Linked DNA regions of Lepisosteus oculatus. The protein of the gene in region 1 purifies or fractionates together with the protein of each later gene. This does not show direct contact. Links are inferred from orthologs where the notes say so. Each region holds a gene or a part of one and is shown on either strand. Other genes may lie near its edges. The genes, in order: mtmr4 and dnajc10.

Region 1 (9,536 bases):
AAAATGTCATTATGCCTTTTAATTCATTAACAGACTTTCTGCTAAATCCTTTTTAATGTCGGGGGGGCAAGGAAACACCCTGATTTATACGTGTGGGGATTGCTTTGTGGGAGCTGTCAGAATGCAAAAAATGCACACAAAAAAAAGCAATGCCATTCTTGAATTGCAGTGGCATTTAGATCTTTGGCAATACAAAATTACTGTGGCTCATGGGCTCAACTCGAGGTTAGTATTAAACCCAGCATTCAAGGCCAGACAGACAGCCCCACCAAGGCTAGGAGTCTAGTTGCCATGGAAATGCTTTGTTAGAGAAGCAAGAAACCCCTTCATTCGCAGCGAAACCATATTCTCTCACTCTGTGCACGGCTTTGCTACCTATTAGCATTCTCTCAATCGCCCACTAAACCCTGTGCTGGAGGTCCTGACTTCAACGCCAGTTTCTCCCATTTAACAGGAGAATTAAATCAGCTAATGGTACTGCAGAGGGGGAGAGAGAGCTTAAAGATAGGCGCGTAGCCCCAGCACGCTATGCAAGGTAAAAAAAACCTGATCCACAAATTGGCTGTGAAGCCGAACTTTGATATTGAGTCCAAATCAGGTGGGTAGAAAACAACCACATGTGATTCTTTCTTTTTAAATCACAAAAACAGAAAAAGAAAAATATATAAAATCCTCCAACCTATGGCCACTTCCACAACGCTGAGTATGGTCTTTTCTCTTCCGTTTGCGAGTTAAGGTTTAGCAACTGAAACGGGCCCGATAGGCAAATCTTCACGGGCAGCAGCAGAAACGCCAAAAAAACACCTCCGAGAACCTACCCCTCTCCAACCGGCAGACACACAGGCCAACTTAAAGGCTTACAAATCAAGGCTGTATGGCAAATACCAATCAAAACAGCCAACAACAGGATAAGCAGAAGAAAATGGGGTTTATAAAAAGGGAATTATTAAAAAAAGAAGTTCCGTTAAGGTAAAAATAATTATTTTCATGATGTGTCAGCACTTAAAAAAACTGAGGTTCCTTTAACCTTTGTTTCCAATGTTACTTAACAGCATCGAGTCACTTTAAGATTGCCCGGAAATACAGAAGGGAGAAAAACACGGAGGCAGTGCAAAATCTGGAAAAGCTGAGCTAACATTCAATGTGTATGCAATCAGCCGGGATGCTATTTGTCCCAAAACTGTACCAAGGCTTCCCCTAGAGACCGACGTGAAGCACACACATCTGTGCTGGTCTGCGCCTGAGCTAGTGTGGTTCACAGGAAGACTGTGCCCAAGAACATTCACTCCTTCCCTCCCATTACCAAACTAAATATTTCAGAGAGAGCTAAATATTTCAAACCACCAGGCTTGTGCAAGTCTAAACTTGATTCCAAACCATGTGTGCAGAAGCCGAGAACAATGCGAAGCCCTTCGTCACATCCTGAACTGTGCTGCCATACTGCTGCCCTGGACTGCAAATAAAATCAATGCCTTTGTTGTGACAGTTAAGATTTTTTTTCTCTCTGCATGAAGCATCATTGATCAATTTAAAAAATGACACCACATTCTTCTAATGAACAAATTAGTGTTTAACACATTTAACACACGCCTGTTGAACCGCAAAGAGATTCAGACATCTCCATTTGGGACATTTTAGGGTGCTTAAGTTATCCCTCAGTAGGCTTGGCTTCAACTTTCTAAAGGGTTTCAGTCTGCGCTGCTCATATCTCAGAAGTCTGGGAGCAGTTTGTAAAAGGTGAGCCACGGAGGAAAGCCCTGCTAGATGGATAAATCGCTTTCTAGATGGGAAAGTAAAACCCATTGAGGGTCACTGAGGATCTCCCCTCTTATGATGCTTTCACAGTCAGCCCAGATAAAAAGCCCTCTGAAACAACAGGAATGACAGAGACCAAGCTGGAACACTACAGCAGTGGCAGAATGCGTATGTCTGGGACACTTCTCTACTCTATCTAAGCAGATGGGCCCTGTCTGGCTGAAGACCCCGGTCACTAACAGAGTCTGGCAGAACCTGGCAGAGCACTGCTGGAGGTCGGCTGTGAACGACTTAGGGACCAGCACTTCAAAAACCACCCCTCAGCCCTTCTAAGGCACAAAGGCACAAAAGTTCACTCTTCCATTTCCCCCCCCCCCCCAGAAACATTTTCTTCTTGTACTGCAGGTCTAGAGAGCGCGCGCGGGCTGTTTGAAGAGCAGTCCAAGGGCTATCCTTGAGAATTAAGAAGGACAGCGCAAGAGAGCCTCTGAAGACAGCAGTGGAGAAACAGGAATGACAGCCAAGCCCATCTGCTGTCTCACAGCGAGGGCTGCCTGGAACCGTGGCGTCCAATATATTTGTGTTCAAACGGGCTGCGCTAGCACTCCAGCACAGCAATGCAAAATTTATTTGGAGCTCCAATTACACCTGGGTTTTATTTAGGCAGATGCATTAGAGCACAGTGCCCTTTGAAAAACAAAGCACAGAGCAAAACCTTTTCAGACAGGTCGTCTGCAGTTTATACAACAATCTATTGCTCCAGTTTAGTACACACCAACGAAAGTGAATTCTCTTTAAATTTCCTATTTAATAGAAAAATTCTAATGTAACTGTGTTGACTTTTTCTGTAGGTTCTGAATACAATAATGGCATACTGAACTCCAGTACTGTACAGCATTTCACAGAGGTACAGTAAACATTTCATAGAAGGCAATACCAACGGGACAGCTGGATGAGGACAACATGCTCATGCTACAGGGGTTGGACGAATATTTCTCCCTTACATTGAGTGTTCAGATGTTTTAAGACTCCAGACCAAAACCAGCCTTAAATTTTTTCAATCAATTAACAAAGTAATTACCAAATGAACAAGATGGACTTTCTATTGTTTGTGAACTTCATGTTATTAACCTTCCAGGACATTTGGAACTGCATCCTGAAATACAAAAAGAAGTAAAAAAAAGTCCTACTGAAAGCTTCAGAATTTAACAGAGAAAAACAGTAGCAAACTAAATATAGACAGTCTTCCATCACCGAAATCAAGTACTCCATCATACTGAGTGTGCCTCCAGGCACAGAGGAAGGATTTGTAGGAAGGTATGTAGGAAATATTTCTTAAACTTTGAATACTTTCAGGGCACAGTCAACAGAACTGCCATGTAAAGCATTAAAATTAACTCCCCAGCAAAAAACACTTCATATACCACAGCAGAAGTATACTGACATGGTTCTTCACGGAAGAATACATCTTATTACCACAAACTTCAGCCATGTGGTTATGGGTGGTGCTCCTGTTTCAAGTGTGAAGGGTTTGCCGATGTGTGCCTAACGGAGAGACGGGGACAATGCCACAGCCTGCTCTTGCCCCAGCTGCATCACAGCAAGTGAAACCCAGACGCTGTAATGTGCAATCACAAGCGTCCCAGCTCCAATTTCTCACCATCCCTTTGGTTTAGAATAACAAATCCCGTCTCCAGCGCTGCTATGAAGGCATCCTCACCCTTCACATTCCAGCGACATGATGGACAGACGCGGTCCTGGCTGTCTTCAGTCTAGGACGCTCTAAAGTAAAGGTCAGAGTTCATCCTGCGTGACCTTTTCACTTCACCATGCCTCCACCACAACCACCATCTACACAATACAAGAAAGCAGTCTGCACATTGCAGTCCACGAACACAGACTGTGTTCTAACCTTTCTAACATTTGAAAACAAAAAGGAATGTCTATTCACAAGGAAAATCCTAGACACTCCTTCACGTGCATAAAGGTGTGCGGGTTTGCTTGAAGGACAAAACAGTGTTTTCATTTACACAACTGTTTCCAAAGATTATATTTCCTCCCCCTCAAAACAAAAAAACCCACATATTCGACTCCCTTTCCCATGCACACAGCTTAACAGCCCGTTTCCTAACCATCACCTTCTTTCAAATAACTTCCCTATTTCCAGTCAGAAAGCCGTCCCATCTCTGGGAAAACAGCAGTCGCGACACTCCAGGCGTTCGTGCAGCTGTGCCTTAACCAGGCGACTCCTGCAGAAGTGAGGGTGCAAAACACAACCCAGAGGAAAAGGAATGGAATGGAAGAGCAGACTTACAAAGCAGTTCAGCATAGAGCAGGAAACGCGTGCAGCCAGGCTCATGTTCAGAGAAAGGTGGGCTGTGCCGGAGAGACCCACAGCCAGGGAAGCAGTATGGCCAGATTATACAGTGCCGGCAAAACCATTCTTCCCCAGCACTGCCCTGGTCCTCACGGCAACCCCCCTCTGCCCCTGCCAGTGCTGCCCCAGGCCCCCGCAGGCTCCTTCTGTGTCTCAGCGGCAGCAAACAACAGGAGCGTCCATGACAAAACCAGGCAGATTCCCCTCTCCGGTCGGCTGGGATAAAAAACAAGCGCGCCAGCAGGTGCACAGGCAAACAGCAAGGAGTGATGTGGAGACAGAGAGAGAGAGGAAAGGGGAGGGAGGGGCTCCCGACGAGACTCCACCTCCAACTAGCACCCCCTCTTCTCCCCCCTTCCTCGCTCTCTCACTTCATCCCCCTCCCCAGCCCCCTCCTGATCCAGCCTGCCTCCTCGCCACACGACCTCCATAGCGTTGTAGAAGACGCGGCCAGCAGGGAGAGGGTTGTCACGCCCGACGTGCTGCCTGGAGAGCAGCGGAAGGCTGAAGGAGACAGAAATCAAAATCCGTCTGCCTGGCAGAAACAGCAGCTAGATTCTCTTGTAAAGACCCGGTATTTTATCCCACACCCCCGACCAAAACCTACAGTACTGTAATCCTGACTGACACAGGCTGGCGACACAAGCTAAGACACAATCTGCTTCCCTGAAGGAGGCTAGCAAGGAACTGCTCACACAGAGGACCCGATGATGCAATCGTGTTTATTTCCGAGACGAGGTAGGGTGGGAGAGGAGGAGTGTGCACGCAAGTGACTGAATGGCTCTACGTTTCATTTTCCTTTCCTGCTGTGCTAAGCAGCATCTTCCTGTTGCTGTAGCACCTTTTGCAGCAGCGCACGTCAACATTTAGCACCGTATGCGAGGCCAGAAGACGGCAGGAATCACCACTGAGCATCAATGACACAGCATTCTGCTGCACAGTACTCTCTCTCTCTCTGCCTGCTTCCTCCTCTACTGTCCTGGCCCATGCTGCGATGAGTCACTGCCACAGTAAACTGCATCAATATCACACACTGCTGCAGAGCTCCTGCACACTGCAGCAGCTACAGAACACTACATGCGGTACTGCAACGCTGTCCAAGGGTCATAACTCACAGCTGCCTTTAGGAAACATTTACTGCCCAACTGGTATACGGTATGTCTTTCGCAGAAGCATATTTATCGAGCCGGTGCTTGACATCTTAAGAGCTGCACGTGACTTGGGTTGACATTGAACTGTTCATATCACTAATGCATTGGAACTGTCAGGTGAAACATTTTCATATAAAAAAAAGAGATACCAGTTTTAAGAGAGAGACAAATTAATGCACAGTCAGCTTGCAAAGTGGGGAGAATAGATCTTCTATGATTATATTAACCATAACCCTGCAGCTAATCAAAAACACTGAAGAGAAAGAATAGAGCCAGACATACAATTAATCTTTAGTTATTTTCGTCTTAAAACCAGCATTTCCAAGATTTTCAGCCTATGCCTGTTTAATGCAGAGACTTTTGGAAATTGAGGCCTTAAGAGATTTTTGGGGCTTAAGTCATTTAATGCATTCACTTGCACAAACTAAATCTCTTAGGACAGCCAACAAGCAAGTTCAGAGCGATACTGATTGGCAAAACCTGCCAGCTACTATGGTATAGCTCTCTTTGTAGAGCAGCTGAGCCACTAAGTCATTAAAAACTGCATTCACGTTACTGCAAACCACATCAAAGCATTTTAAATCTTTGGCCGGGGAAAGACCACACAATATTCAACTCACAAAGCTGAATTTTGTTTCTGTGCTGCTTATTCAACGCTACAGCAAGAGGATGCTGAAGTTCCAACCACACAAAGCTGGGAAGCATGACTCATCTCTGCTCCGGCTGTGCCAGGCGATGCCCAGTAGGGGGGCAGAAAGGCCCTGAAAGCTGCCCCTTCTTCTCTGACACATCTGGCAGTGGTAGAAAAGGCAGCCTGCCCCAGCTTGATACAAGAATGCCAGCTGATGACATGTTTTAAGAAGTCCTGTTGAAAATGCAAAACGTTTTTTTTTTTTAGCCCCATCAGCTCTTTCCAGTGGGAACAGCACCAAACCCCACCCTTGCAGGAGATGACATTTGTTTTTCCTTTCGATCCACCCCCCCACCCCTGCCCCCAACACGCAATTTGGAGTTTCACATTTTTAATCTCCTCATCTTGCGCAGACAGCCAGCGTACCAAGCGCAAGACAGATTAAGCGAGTGCACTCGCAGCCTCTGACACATGTGGTCAGGTCATGTGCTTTTCACCACGTGAGCCTGCATGTCAACATGTCTGAAGCACCAGAAGGCAGCAGGATGGATTTTTCACTTATCATAGTGAATGATGCCCATTGCTTTCAAGCCCCTTTGTCTCAGGGTCACAATTCTGGGTTACAGGACCAAAGTACTTATAAGTACAGTACTGCTCCACACTTTTTTTTTAGGGCTGTATGTTTAGCACAGGTTCATTGTTTCCAAAAGCAACAACAGCACAAAACATGCAGGTGACATTATCATGAATTTCATAACCAAGCAGGTGACATCAATTCCTGTTGCGAAACAAAGGGGACAATATTTACCTGCACATCTGACTGGAAACTGATGTCAGACCCAGTCAGGCTTCACAGCTGTTCCAAAGCAATTCAGTACAGAGAAAACAATGAAAAGCAAAATTGCCCTATTGTTCCTTTCAGTTCCCATTAGAACATGGCAAAGTTCTAACGAATTACAAAAGGACAAGCTCAACACTTGTTTCATGCTTTTGCAAACAGGTTCAGTCCATGTAAACTCAATTTTGTTCCGCTTTCAGGTGGAAAATGATAAAAATGACTTGATAACAGAACCCCACCCACCTCTTTTTTAAAAATAAATCATTGCACCTTTAGAAGGGTTTCCAGATTCTCTGCTGTTAAGACTTGCAAGTAAAGACTTGCAAGGTATTGCACAGTTCACTAAATCTGCACAACAGAGAGGCCACACACCTTCTCAAATTGCACACTAGAATAAGGACTTAAACAGTGGATTATGAACACAGATCACAAGTATCCAATTTTTAAAAGTGAAAATCTCCACAATTTACTTTTTATTTTTTAAAAAACGCCATATTGCCTTGATTCACCCTAGTGGACTTTAATGATAAAATAAGCAGTGTTAGTCTAACCGCACATTTAAGAACAGGAAACTAAAGTTTTAAATCATCACAATACCATAGTAACTCTCAACAAGGTAAACTCTGCATTTAATTTATCAGACTTTGAAGGGTTTAAATAACAACTGACCTGTTAAATTAGGGAAAATAAAGACAATGGATACAGTTAGCTGTGGCTTCTCTTATTTGCTCATTTAATTCTGAGTAAAACAGTTCCACAACAGTTATATTTGACTGCATACTCACGTCAACATCCTAAACAAATGTCAAACTCCAGTACTACAGTATGCTGTTCCTAATAGATGTATACAGAGGGTTTTTTCTTTTTAACCTTGGGTGCCTGTCCCTTAAACGACAGCTTGATTAGAATATACTTCTTCTAGTGCCCCACAGAATTTACAGAATGCAAAAATAATGCTACTAGAGGGGAGATGTTTTAATTTTAAGTCCTAGTAACAGCGTTCATCCTGGTTTTCCAAACAGCAGCCTCCCCGTGCAGCTCAGCAGCCATAAGCCTCTGACTTGCAAGCTGAGTGTGCAACGAGGGTGAATTTTATTCCTATGAATGCAGGCAAACCTAATGTTTGGTTACTGTACCAATACACTGAATAATTATGTGTAGAGGTCCCAGTCTCACTAGATATGCATTTAAAGAGAGATCAGGAAACTAGCCTGCTTTCTCAACTCCTAGTAGAACACCACAGCATTCCCTCTGGGAGCTTTCTTGCTTAATCAAGTCAGGCACACCCTCGTTGGAACTTATTAGCATACCCCACAGGACAAGTGCCATCAGCCATTGATCCATTATGGAATATGCCTTTGATAAATGACTAAATCTGAAGCTCCAAACCAGGGCAACTGTACCTCTCACGAGACGCAGGATTTAACAGGAAAGGAAAGGGCTCAGGAAGCAGAAGAACGACAGGTACCATGATTGACTGCACCGTTTCGTTTTGGAAAGATGCTGATGCTGTTTGAATCTGTAACTCCTGTTTAAGCTAAAGGTGTTCACGGCAAATTAACAAGATATCGGGTGAATCTGGATCCCCTTGGGTCATGCATCTAAAATGGAAGACTTCCTCTTTTTTTGAAAAGCCTCCATTAACACCATTAAGATGAAATAATATTTCAAGGATTATTTTGAAATGCTAATCAACAACCGTGTTAACTGGGAAGCCATCTGCTACAGCAAACGACTAGCGGGAAGAAGTGCTTTTAATTTGTTTTTAATTCAATCACAATAATGGCAGGTCACGCGTATGTGTCCATTTCTTTCCGTTCTGCTTCGGTTCTTATTCACCTCACACTGAAAACCATGATGCTACTAACATGAAGGCATATAGCACTGTTCATGCTGTATGCATGAATGTTTTATAAACAGTTTAAAAAACAAACATCAGACTTCACTTGGACAGAAATCAACATCTGACTACTACTCCAAATTTTAATGGTTTTCTCACTGAAACAAAAGAGTAAATGAAGACACTGTACACAACTATATCCCAGAATCCCTGGATTCAATATGGCAAATAATTATGGAAACAAAGGAAAACTGATATGTAATGGAAATTGAAATATGGATAATCCATACAGCATGTTTAATTATAAAAATATACTAATTGATTTCTAATTCAGTATTTGTAATGGAGGCCCTTTGTTCAACACAGAGCTTTACATCTTGGCTCTGTGGAAGGATGCTCCAAACAGCCTGGAACTCGTCCCACAATCTGGCCAACTTGCTTAGCCAGCTTTGCAGTATACATGCAATCCTGCGCGACCCCTGGCGTCCATGTCAGGACTTTGTGCACACCAAGGCCAGCCAGTGTATAGAAGCCAAAGTTCCTCCACAAACTGGCTGCACACTTGAGGTCACGGTCATGTTGGAAGGCAAATGCTGGACCTGCGAGACCCGTCAGAGGACAGGTTATCCCTGATACCCCAGGACGAGACACACCTCCGTTCTACACCGTTACACTGCTCTCCACTGTGCCTTCAAACGAACTGCCACTGATCACTGCCAAACAGATCCGACTTGGATCTGTCTGTGATCTTTTACCAGGGCATGCTGCCTTCCTAAAGCAAACACCCTTCCTTTGAGACTATTCTGTGCTCGTATGAATTGTACTTTTCAGGAAGAAAACTCCTCTATGGCAAAGTCATTCACAAGATCAACCATCAAACAGACCCTTACTGCGGGGAATGGAGTATCAGGATTGGCGAGTCTGGATCTCCTTCCTCAGAGAAA
Region 2 (10,070 bases), on another chromosome or scaffold:
CTGCAACATGTCACCAGAAATATACACGTTACTGTGTACATTTTACTTTCATTGTGGTTTGAAACGCACTCTTTCTAACCCTGAAATATAAGAATAGCGTTCATTCCCCTTTAACTGTCTGTGTAATATACTGAGAGGCATTAAAAAACAGCATATGCTACTGGAACTAATACACTGCTACTAATACTTTATAAGCACAACCTTAATACCTTCTAAGTACTACAACAAAAAGGGGATTTCTTATTTTAAGTGTTCCATAAACATACCAAAACAGACATGTTTACATTCAAACACAGATTATGAAAAGGCTTATTACCACTTTAGTTCTTATATTCTACATACCATTCCAGCTTTAAATATGTGCAGGCTTGGATAGCTGGTGATGCCTTTACTTCGACACAGCATCCTATTGTCACCGCAGTTCACTGCTCCAATTCTGATTACACCATCCATTTCCTTTGCAAACTCTCTCCACTAAAGTAAGAGTAAAAAATATTATTTAGATTGGAAAAACACCTTTGTACAGCTATGAAAATCAAGCAGAACTAAAACAAGAGATGACAAGAAAGAAGAAAGAAATGACAATTAATTTATGTCACATTTTAATTTCATATTTATTCAGCACTATGGGTAACAAAATTATTATCTTTGCTTATCAATTTAAAGAGAGAAATATGTTACCACATATTTCCATTTTAGATTCTGAATTCATCTACAGTACCTACAAAGCACTGATCTCAGAGAATTAATTTCCCTTTATGACCACCTAGAGTATACGATGTGTAGTTCTGATGCTTTTGTATGTTTTTGTAGTTTTTAGAGATTGAAAGAGAAATAAGTAATAATAATCTCTTTAAGAAACAACTAAATATTTAGGGTTTTACAGTGATACTAGCATAATGTTTTTAAAACCCTTTCAGGACACCTTTAGCTATCAGCTACTCTACTTTGTAACAAAACTACAACAGGTGTAGCTTACCACACCAAGACATCCATAATACAGCAAAAACTAAAAAACAATTTCACGGATTACATTTTATTCACCAGAAAGGATCTACTTAAAATATATATCTTATTCTGTACCTATCTCATCATTCAAGGTTTACAAAGAGATCCAGGATTACTGACAGCTAGAAAGCAGGAATATAATTTTAAAAGATGTCTGTAAATATTCTAGAAAAACAAAACGTAGTGCAAGAATAGTTTTCTCACCGTTGGTGCCAAGTCATGACAATGTGAGCAGCGTGGAAAGTAGAAATTCACAAACCACAGCTCTCCAGAGTTCACAGCCGCATCTAATGAATAACAAAATAAATACCCCTGTAAATCATCCTGTTAACAGCAAATGTTAGGCAGACAGCCAGATTTACTATTATATTATTTGATAGTATCTGATAAAAAATGCTTACCAAAGTCCCCTCTGTCCAATGTGATGATCTCAAGATCATCATCATATATACCTGTAAAAGTGAAAACAATATATCAAAAAACATTCCAATAGTCAGCTCTAAACTAAAATGACACATCATTATTAATTAATATTTTAATTCTCCACTTTCAATTAGGCTTTTCAGAAATCTCTACCTTGAAATTATCAAACACATGTAAGATGGATACATACTTTTAGCTCAGCCTTCCAATTGTTTAAGATTCTACACTTAAAATTTACGTATGAGTAGGAGATCTGATCTACCAAAATTTAAACCCAGTGCACAGAAAGCACTCAATCCTGAATTAAATAAGGTAAATCACTTTCCTCTGGGGAAAATATTTCAGTTCTATGGAAATAAATACCTTGGGCAATTTTATCCTGGATTAGCCTTACTTTTCTGTACGCAGCATACAGTAGATGGCGAGCAACACACAGCACACATAAAGTGAGACGTTGTTAGGCCGACATACCAAAGTCATATCGGTAATAGTTCCAGCTTTCATATCTTCCACCCTCCTGATTATCTTGTAGTCCTTTCTCTCCATATTTATCATATTTCTTCCGCAAATCTTCATCTTTCAAAACTTCATAGGCTCTGTTTATCTTCAGGAACTTGTCATGAGCATCCTGATCATTCTAAATAAAACATGGACAGTCAAAGTTTTGACACCTTGTTACAAATAACATTTCATATCTATGATTTCATGCAATGTACAATTTGTATATGCTTTGAGATATTTACTTACAGGGTTTTTATCAGGATGCATTGTTAGTGCAAGCTTCTTAAAGGCCTGTCGAATTTCTCTATTACTTGCTTCTCTGGACACTCCAAGTAGCTCATAATAATCATCATTGCAGGAAATAACAGCAGCCAAACATATTATAACAAAAAAGTACAAAAATGTTCTGCTTGACTGTCTTCTGTAAACACAACAGGTTTGTTCTGCAAGTAGTGCTGATTCCATTGTGTTCTGCTCCCCGCTGACTCAATCAACCTTCAAGACACAGTTGCTCTCAAGCTGAATTCGATATCTTCATCCTCAGCTATGTGCCAGTAACTGCTTGCTTCAAACAGTTTTAAAGATATCTATGTTGGAAAAAAATGAGAAAACATTATGCAAACAATGATTGTACATTATAGTGATTCTATAAATCCAGAGCTACATCACACCTTTTGATATTAAATCCTGTCAAAGGACATTTATCTATACTTTAGATCAATTTTGGCAGTACTGCATAGCATTTTAAAAGTTAATGTTTTTGGATGCAGTCCATGGTGTGAAAACAATCTAAACAAAAAACTCAATTTTTAGGGAGAATTGTATGATTTATAGCCAGGAGGTGCCGGACATTTTCCAAATAGGCAGCATTTCATACCTTTTACAACACATAGTGAGTTAATTCTAAATGAAATAATTAAATCACAATTTGTACCCAAAAATGAATGCCCTCAATTTAGATTTGATGAAGAATAAATTATTGCAGAAGAGGAGGTCAATGAGGAACTAATGGTCTTTGTAGACTGCAAAGTACTAAAGTAAACTGAAGTACAAATAAACAAACTTCACTTTTCCACTTAGAAAAAGACACATCGTAACTGCACCACAATGTTTCTATACAGAAAATAATCTACAGTGTGTGATGAAAGCAGGAATGTTCATTTTTTTTCAATCCATCTATTACAGTAACAAGGTTTATGAACGAAAAGTAACCTTGGGTGAAGATAATGAGGTATGATGGTTATCTTTGTAAGATCCAGGAAACTGTAATGGTTTACCCATGGGGAGGCATACATTCTAGCTAAAAATCATACCAGGATTGCTCCTGAACTCAGGTTTAAATGTACAGTAATATGTGTATAGCAGGTAATTACATACATGAAAGAAATCAATTGTTTTGTGTTCACAAACTGGAATTTCTAGTTGCAGTTGTTTATAATTCACATGAACAAGGAATGAAAGCAGTTCAATTAAACGTGTTTATCTTCTAGTAACAGATAGCATTAAAATATGCAACTATTAAAATCTTGATGCTGTTATTATTAGGATTAGCTAGATCATGTACAAAATTTATTATTCGTTTTAATTAAAACTTGCTCTGAATCTGGGGTTATACAGTACTTATACCTATTCTTAAATCTGCATCACTTTTAACCTTATGTGATAATATGCTAACAAAAGTGCATCACTTTAGATATAAGGATGGGTAGACAGACAACTTACCGACTCCTGTTTCGTCGCACCAATGTCAGTCTAAAGCGTTTCCAAAATTTCAATGAATGTTTTTTTCTGATAACATAAACATCTAAGCTTATACAGACTGCAGCTTACAAAGGAAAGCACATGGCAATTATAATAAGGCAAACATTACTTCTCCTCGCCTATCCGGGTAAAGATCCTGTTATTTCGGTACCGGTATATTTGCAGACACTAAGAGAAACTTTAGTGTACCACCGTGATGACGTTAAAACGTTGTGTGAGTGCCACGTTAACCACAGACCCTGTTACACTAACCAATGGGAAACTACCTCAAAAACCAGAGAAAGGAACGCGTCTTTTTAATCGTGGTTCTGCTAGTTTTAGGTTATGTATTATACAGCGATTCTGGAATAAGGAATTTTCTTTTCGTAAATATGACTTAATTTTCTGCTTAGAATAATTAGTTAAAGTTAAATACATACTTGTTCAGTTAGTTCAAGTTAAATACATAGTAGGGTAATGCATCTAAGCGGAATCTTTTATGTGTTTAATGCAAACGAAAAATACATAAAAATGTGAAATCACTATAATGTTGTAATTTTTACACGTGCCCTTTAAATCCCACTCCTTTCCGACTTCACATGAAACAGGAGTCTGCCCGCAGCTTTTATATGACGTCACCCCCAGAATGCCTCGGTATTGCTGGAAAGCGCACGATTTCCGCCATTATTTGAAAATTTGAATCTATTTCAACCTAAAATTAGGCACATTTTGATTGGAAAAATCAGCTTGCTTTACTTTTTCAGCTGTCCTTATATACTGTTTTGTGGGTAGCCTGTAATGGAATTTCAAGGTGGGTACAGTCTTTTTCTAGTGTTGTACTTTTGGAGGTTAGGAATGCATATATTTTAAAATCTACCGCTCCATGTTATTCCCTTAATCTCATTCAGGCCTAAATTAATTAATAGTCATGTTAAGACTGCAATATTGATAAAATATCTAATTCTGATTTTATTTTTATAGTTTTTGAGACATTGTTCTATTTATGGCGTGTCCCAGTTGACAGTTATAACTGCAGTAACACTAGACTTATCGCTTTTTTTGAACATAGGGGATATAGCGTGAGGGGTATTAATACATTTTATAATCAATATGAATTTTTGCTAATACTAATTCGAGATTTGTATGTTTGTTTATTGTCATCAATATATATATATATGAACTATTATACTGTGTTAATAAATTGCCTTCAAAGCTACTCCAAAAAAAGTTTAGAGGTATTGGCTTGTTTTATTCCAAGGAAGAGTCTCCATGAAACGGTGTTTTGGGCAGCTCTAGGTGAGTCGGATAAAAGCAAATATACGGATTTATCTTAACTTTGTCAGGTACAGAACCAATGACCCTGGGGTCGCCAACCTCCCCAAAGCCCAGTTCGGGCGCACAGTTCCTGCCCGGGTTTCTGATGGGCGACCTGCCAGCGCCGGTGACTCCCCAGCCTCGCACCTTCAGCAGCTCTGTCGGCAGTGGGATGGAAATGAGGTCTCCTCTTATGACGGGTGAGCTGTTTATGTATTCATCTTCATAATCCACGATTTTACGGGACATGGCGTAACAGGTGTGAATTTATACCAGTCTGCTTCGTGCAGAAGGTCTGCTGGCTGTGACGGACGCAACAAATAATCCACTGACCAATTGTTTAGGGGGGGTTCTCCGTTCCAAAAAACATATCGAGGTACGTGCATGTAAAATCACATTTAAAGTGCCGAGAAAGGGCTGTAAAATTTAGAATGGATTTATGGAGACCATTTATTTTGGGGAAATGTCCATTTCTGAAGGAGTAAGAGCAACCTTTCTCACTACCGTGTAAGTATTTGGCTGTGCTAGTCAAGATGTGAAGACACTGTGGTATACTAGAAGAAATGACCACAAGATAAGGTTACGGCACGATGAGGAATAGAGATTTAAATATAGTCACAGAGTAAAACTCAGTGTTGCACATGTGCAAGATGCCTCTCTCAATTTTTTTTCCCCTCAGGTGGTTCACCTCCTCAGCCAGTTGTCCCCACACCCAAGGACAAGAGTGGGGCACCCCCAGTTAGAAGTATATATGATGAGTTAACATGTCCAGGGATTGGGGCATCATCACTGAGTTTGCAGAAGCAAGTAAGCAGTTAGAACTGTTGATTTATTTTCTTATCACATTATCTGATCATCTTCCTGTAATAAAATATCGCCATTCCTGTCCACAGCCCTCTTTTTCAGTGCTACAGACCCCATTATCTGCCTTGGCTGCTGCCTCCCCAGGAACAGGTGAATTATATGGTTGAAGTACTTTTGCAAGACATCTTTTTTTAACATCAGTTAATAACATGAACATCTCATATGCAGTGCTTTAAATTGGGGAACAGTGCTTTTGATTTTAAGGCTTAATGGGCTGAGTGTTTTTTTTTTAATCTAAACAAAAAATCTGTGCCTCTAGCTCTTTTGGTTTATTAAAATTATGTTGCAAATATGATATGATGGGGGTACAAAATAAATTGACCTAATCGCTAGTCCGCTTAAACCGTGGGTTGAATTTTAATTTCATCCTCTTGAGACATTTTGAGATTTCATTTGGTGGTAAAGGCAAAAAACGTATAGCTATTTTTATCTTGCCATCGGCAACTAATATGTCTTGTAATATCTGAAAAGGAAAAGTGCAACGCACGGTTCTAACAGAACTAAAACAGCTACTTGTTTGAATTTTAACAGCATCAAGTGTATTTAGTCCTCTCGGCCAACAGAGAAGGGCAGCCATCTCTCCAGCCCAAGTTGATCCTTTCTATACCCAGGGGGATGCACTTTCTTCAGATGACCATTTAGATGAAACTTGGGTCACAGTTTTTGGGTAAATATAAATACTATTTTTTAAGTTTGCATTGCACATACTGTACACTGCAAAAGTTCTAACTCCAGATAGATATCTGACAGGCTAAAGCTAGGTTTACTGTGGTATCATTTCACCTTTTGTAAACATGTTTCTGAGAAGAACATTTAAAATGCTTCATTTCACAGAGGTGCGAGATTAAATCCCTTTAGTTTAGTATTTTACTTAAAGAGGGGACACATACTGTAGGTTTCTTTTTTATTGTTTTCCCAGATAAGTCAAGTGAATAAATTTTATTTCACAATTTTGTAATATAGTAGCTTATTTATAGAGCAGGGCATTAACTGGAGAAATTTGAATAAAGTAACTTGCTCAAGGGTACAACAGTTGAGTTCTAACCAATAATATAAAGGTATGTAATCACCAGGTCCACTAAAAAACGTGAATAGTTTGAAGTTCAGAAATTTTACCTAGTAATCTTACTTTCAGTTTTATTATTGCAGCTGATGCAGAACACCTTAACTGACTCGTGCCTCCCAAAGCATCACTAGTAGTGATTACTACACAGCAAACTAACTCCAAACCTGAAAATGCTACAACATTTTGGATCAACCGCAGTACAATAGTGACGTAATAGACATTTTCTGCGGTTTATATACCTTTCTAAATTCCTGTTAAACCTGTCTTTCTTAAGGTACGTAAAGGTATGAGGCCTACAGTGCCTTGCGAAAGTTGTTTAACCCCCCCTTGGGGTTACCTTTTCACATTTTATTTTAACCATGATGTACTTAACAAAATTTTCGCCAGTCATCAACACAAGGTACTCTATAAGATAAGATCTCTTTATTAGCCTTATACAATTTCTTGGATTAGGAATTTCTTTTTCGTAATGTCAAGGTGAAAAAAAAATCTAGACATTTTACTACATTAATGAAAAATAAAAAACAGAAAATAATTTAATGCATAAGTATTCCTCCCCAATCCCAGAGTTAATACTTGGTAGGACCACCTTTGGCAGCAATTACAGCTGTGAGTTTCTTTCGGTAAGTCTCTATCAGCATTGCACATCTTGACACTGGAATTCTTACCCATTCTCCTTGGCAAAACTGCTGAAGCTCCATCAAGTTGGAAGGTGACCATTTTTGATTACCAATTTTTAAGTCATTCCATAGATTCTCAATTGGATTGAGTTCTGGGCGTTGACTTTGCCACTCCAGGACATTAACCTTTTTAGTTTTAAGGCACTCCAGTGTGGCTTTTGCTGTATGTTTTGGATCATTGTCCTTTTGGAAGATGAATCGTCTTCCAAGTCCCAGTGCTCTTGCAGATTACAGCATCTTTTCTTCCAGGATGGTTCTGTACTTAGCTCCATCCATTTTTCCTTCTATCTTTATGAGTTTTCCGGTCCCTGCCGCAGAGAAGCATCCCCAAATGGTGGTATTCTCAGTGTGATATGCTGTGTTAGGTTCGCACCAGACAAAGTTAAATTTTGGTTTCATCAGACCATAGAATCTTCCTCCAAATTGTTGAGTCTCTCACATGCCATTGGGCAAACTCCAGCCGAGATGTAATATGAGTTTTTTTTCCCAACAAAGGCTTTCTTCTTGCAACCCTTCCGTACAACCGAGATATATGAAGCGTGCGTGCTATTGTTGTCTAATACATAGTTTCTCCCATTTCTGTCATGGAGGACTGTAACTCCTTTAGAGTTGCCGTAGGCTTCTTGGTGGCCTCCCTTACTATGGCTCTTCTTGCCCGGACACTCAGTTTTGGAGGGCGGACAGTTCTGGGCAGATTCACAGTTGTTCCATATTTTCTCACCTTTGTAATGATGGACTTCCCTGTGCTTCAAGGTATATTCAGTGCCTTGAAAATTTTCTTATATCCTTATATCCTAAATGGTCATTTTCAAGAACCTCGTCTCAGATCTGCTTGGAACATTCCTTGGTCTTCATGATGTAGTGTTTCCCCCCCATAGTGCATTTCAAAGGAAGCTGCCAGACACAGGTGTATTTATTCTGCAATCATGTGAAACACCTCAAATGCACACAGGTGGACTCCAGTCAAGTAATTATGTGACTTGGAGAAGAGAGTTGGTTACTTAATGGGTAATTTAGCTGCTTCAAAGCAAGGGGGAGAATACTTATGCTTTCAGTTATTTTCTGTTTTTTATTTTTAGTTTAGTAAAATGTCTGGATTTTTTTTCTCTTTGACATTATAGAGTACTGTGTTGATCAGTGGTAAAAAATCTCAGTTAAACACATCAGGTTTCCATGCTGTAACACAATAAAATGTGAAAAAGTCCAAGGGGGGTGAATACTTTTGCAAGGCATTGTATATCTGGTATTTTATCAGTTTCTCTAACCTGACCTCTGACTTTCTCTAGCCACGTTTTTGACACCCATGAAAGCTTCCTTCTGATAGCTATGTGGGTCAAGGAACCCCTTTTCTTATTCTGGCAAGTCATAGGTTAGCTCTGCTTCCTGCACCACCTCAAGTGGATAAATCATACAATGCGATATATACATTTTCAATATATGTAGACCCACCTATTGCAAGATAAGGTAGAACTGCAAAAAGTCACAAACCAACACCCTTTGCCTACATCTTAGTGCTGCTTGTCTTATATTGATACACTGCAGTTGTACAACCTATTGACCTTGAATCATGATACCATCTTTGTAGAGGTGCTGCCCTTGATACCAGCAGAACCTGTAGATAATATAAGTTGTGGTGAGGTTTCTGCTTCTACCTTTGGCAGCTGTAGTTATTTCTATGTTATTGTTATTTGTTATTGTTTCTGTTAGCAGCATTCCCTGTGTTTCCGAGTTGTGGTATTGCTCTAGGTTGATTGAAACCTGCAAACCTGTTTGTCTTTCAAGTCTCCAAACACCTTGTTGCGCATTTCATGTCTCATACTCAGGATGAAGGAATGAACAAAAGGACTAATACAGTGCTATGAATGAGCATACCACAGCCTCTCATAAAAAAAAAGTTGACTTGCACATAATTATTAGTGTAAAATATGCTAGGTAACAAAATATAAGCATTTTCAAATTATTTTTTTCAGCATTTTGTTCTAATGCTTGCTAAATAATTTGCATACAGTAAACATAAACATAGAAATGTTTTACATATTTTTTTGTAAATTTCATCAAACTTGAGCACTACTCGATAGAATGTAGTATGAATCTCTGTTAAGTAAACTGAAAATGAATCTTTATAGTTCAATAAGTAATATTTTGTAATTCAATAAGTGATATTCTGAAAGATTTGGTTAATAATATTGTTTTGTATGTAGGGTCAAGTTTTGTCTGAAACTGTAAAATATATCTGAAATACTAATTCTTAAATTTATTCTTTTAAATAGGTTTCCTCCAGCATCAGCTTCATATATACTTTTGCAGTTTGCCCAATATGGAAACGTATTGAAACACGTGGTAAGGTTATGAGTTAATTCTTAATTTTCACATTTTCATCATGTAGATTTTCACATTTTATCAAGTCTTTTGTAATATATTTTTGTTCAGTTTTATTTTATGGATCAACAATTTCCTTTAAGCATTATATTGAA

What was found.
Region 2: the proteins of mtmr4 (region 1) and dnajc10 purify together in Homo sapiens (affinity purification with mass spectrometry; 3 studies listed by BioGRID and IntAct, counting the BioPlex papers as one, with this or other methods). This does not show direct contact. The link is inferred for Lepisosteus oculatus from reciprocal best matches to the Homo sapiens genes MTMR4 and DNAJC10.

The regions. Positions count from the first base shown.
Region 1 is NC_090721.1:3,718,621-3,728,156, reverse strand, and holds the start of mtmr4 (myotubularin-related protein 4), read right to left. Parts: upstream 4,436-9,536; 5' UTR 4,115-4,435; coding exon 4,070-4,114; intron 1-4,069. UniProt on the Homo sapiens protein: Lipid phosphatase that specifically dephosphorylates the D-3 position of phosphatidylinositol 3-phosphate and phosphatidylinositol 3,5-bisphosphate, generating phosphatidylinositol and phosphatidylinositol 5-phosphate.
Region 2 is NC_090707.1:18,364,665-18,374,734, reverse strand, and holds the start of dnajc10 (dnaJ homolog subfamily C member 10), read right to left. Parts: upstream 4,204-10,070; 5' UTR 3,655-4,203; intron 2,520-3,654; 5' UTR 2,398-2,519; coding exon 2,179-2,397; intron 2,069-2,178; coding exon 1,903-2,068; intron 1,461-1,902; coding exon 1,410-1,460; intron 1,296-1,409; coding exon 1,213-1,295; intron 475-1,212; coding exon 343-474; intron 1-342. Other genes in the region: nucleoporin NUP35, read left to right, coding at 4,471-4,483, 5,016-5,186, 5,666-5,793, 5,880-5,940, 6,382-6,517, 9,867-9,936. UniProt on the Homo sapiens protein: Endoplasmic reticulum disulfide reductase involved both in the correct folding of proteins and degradation of misfolded proteins.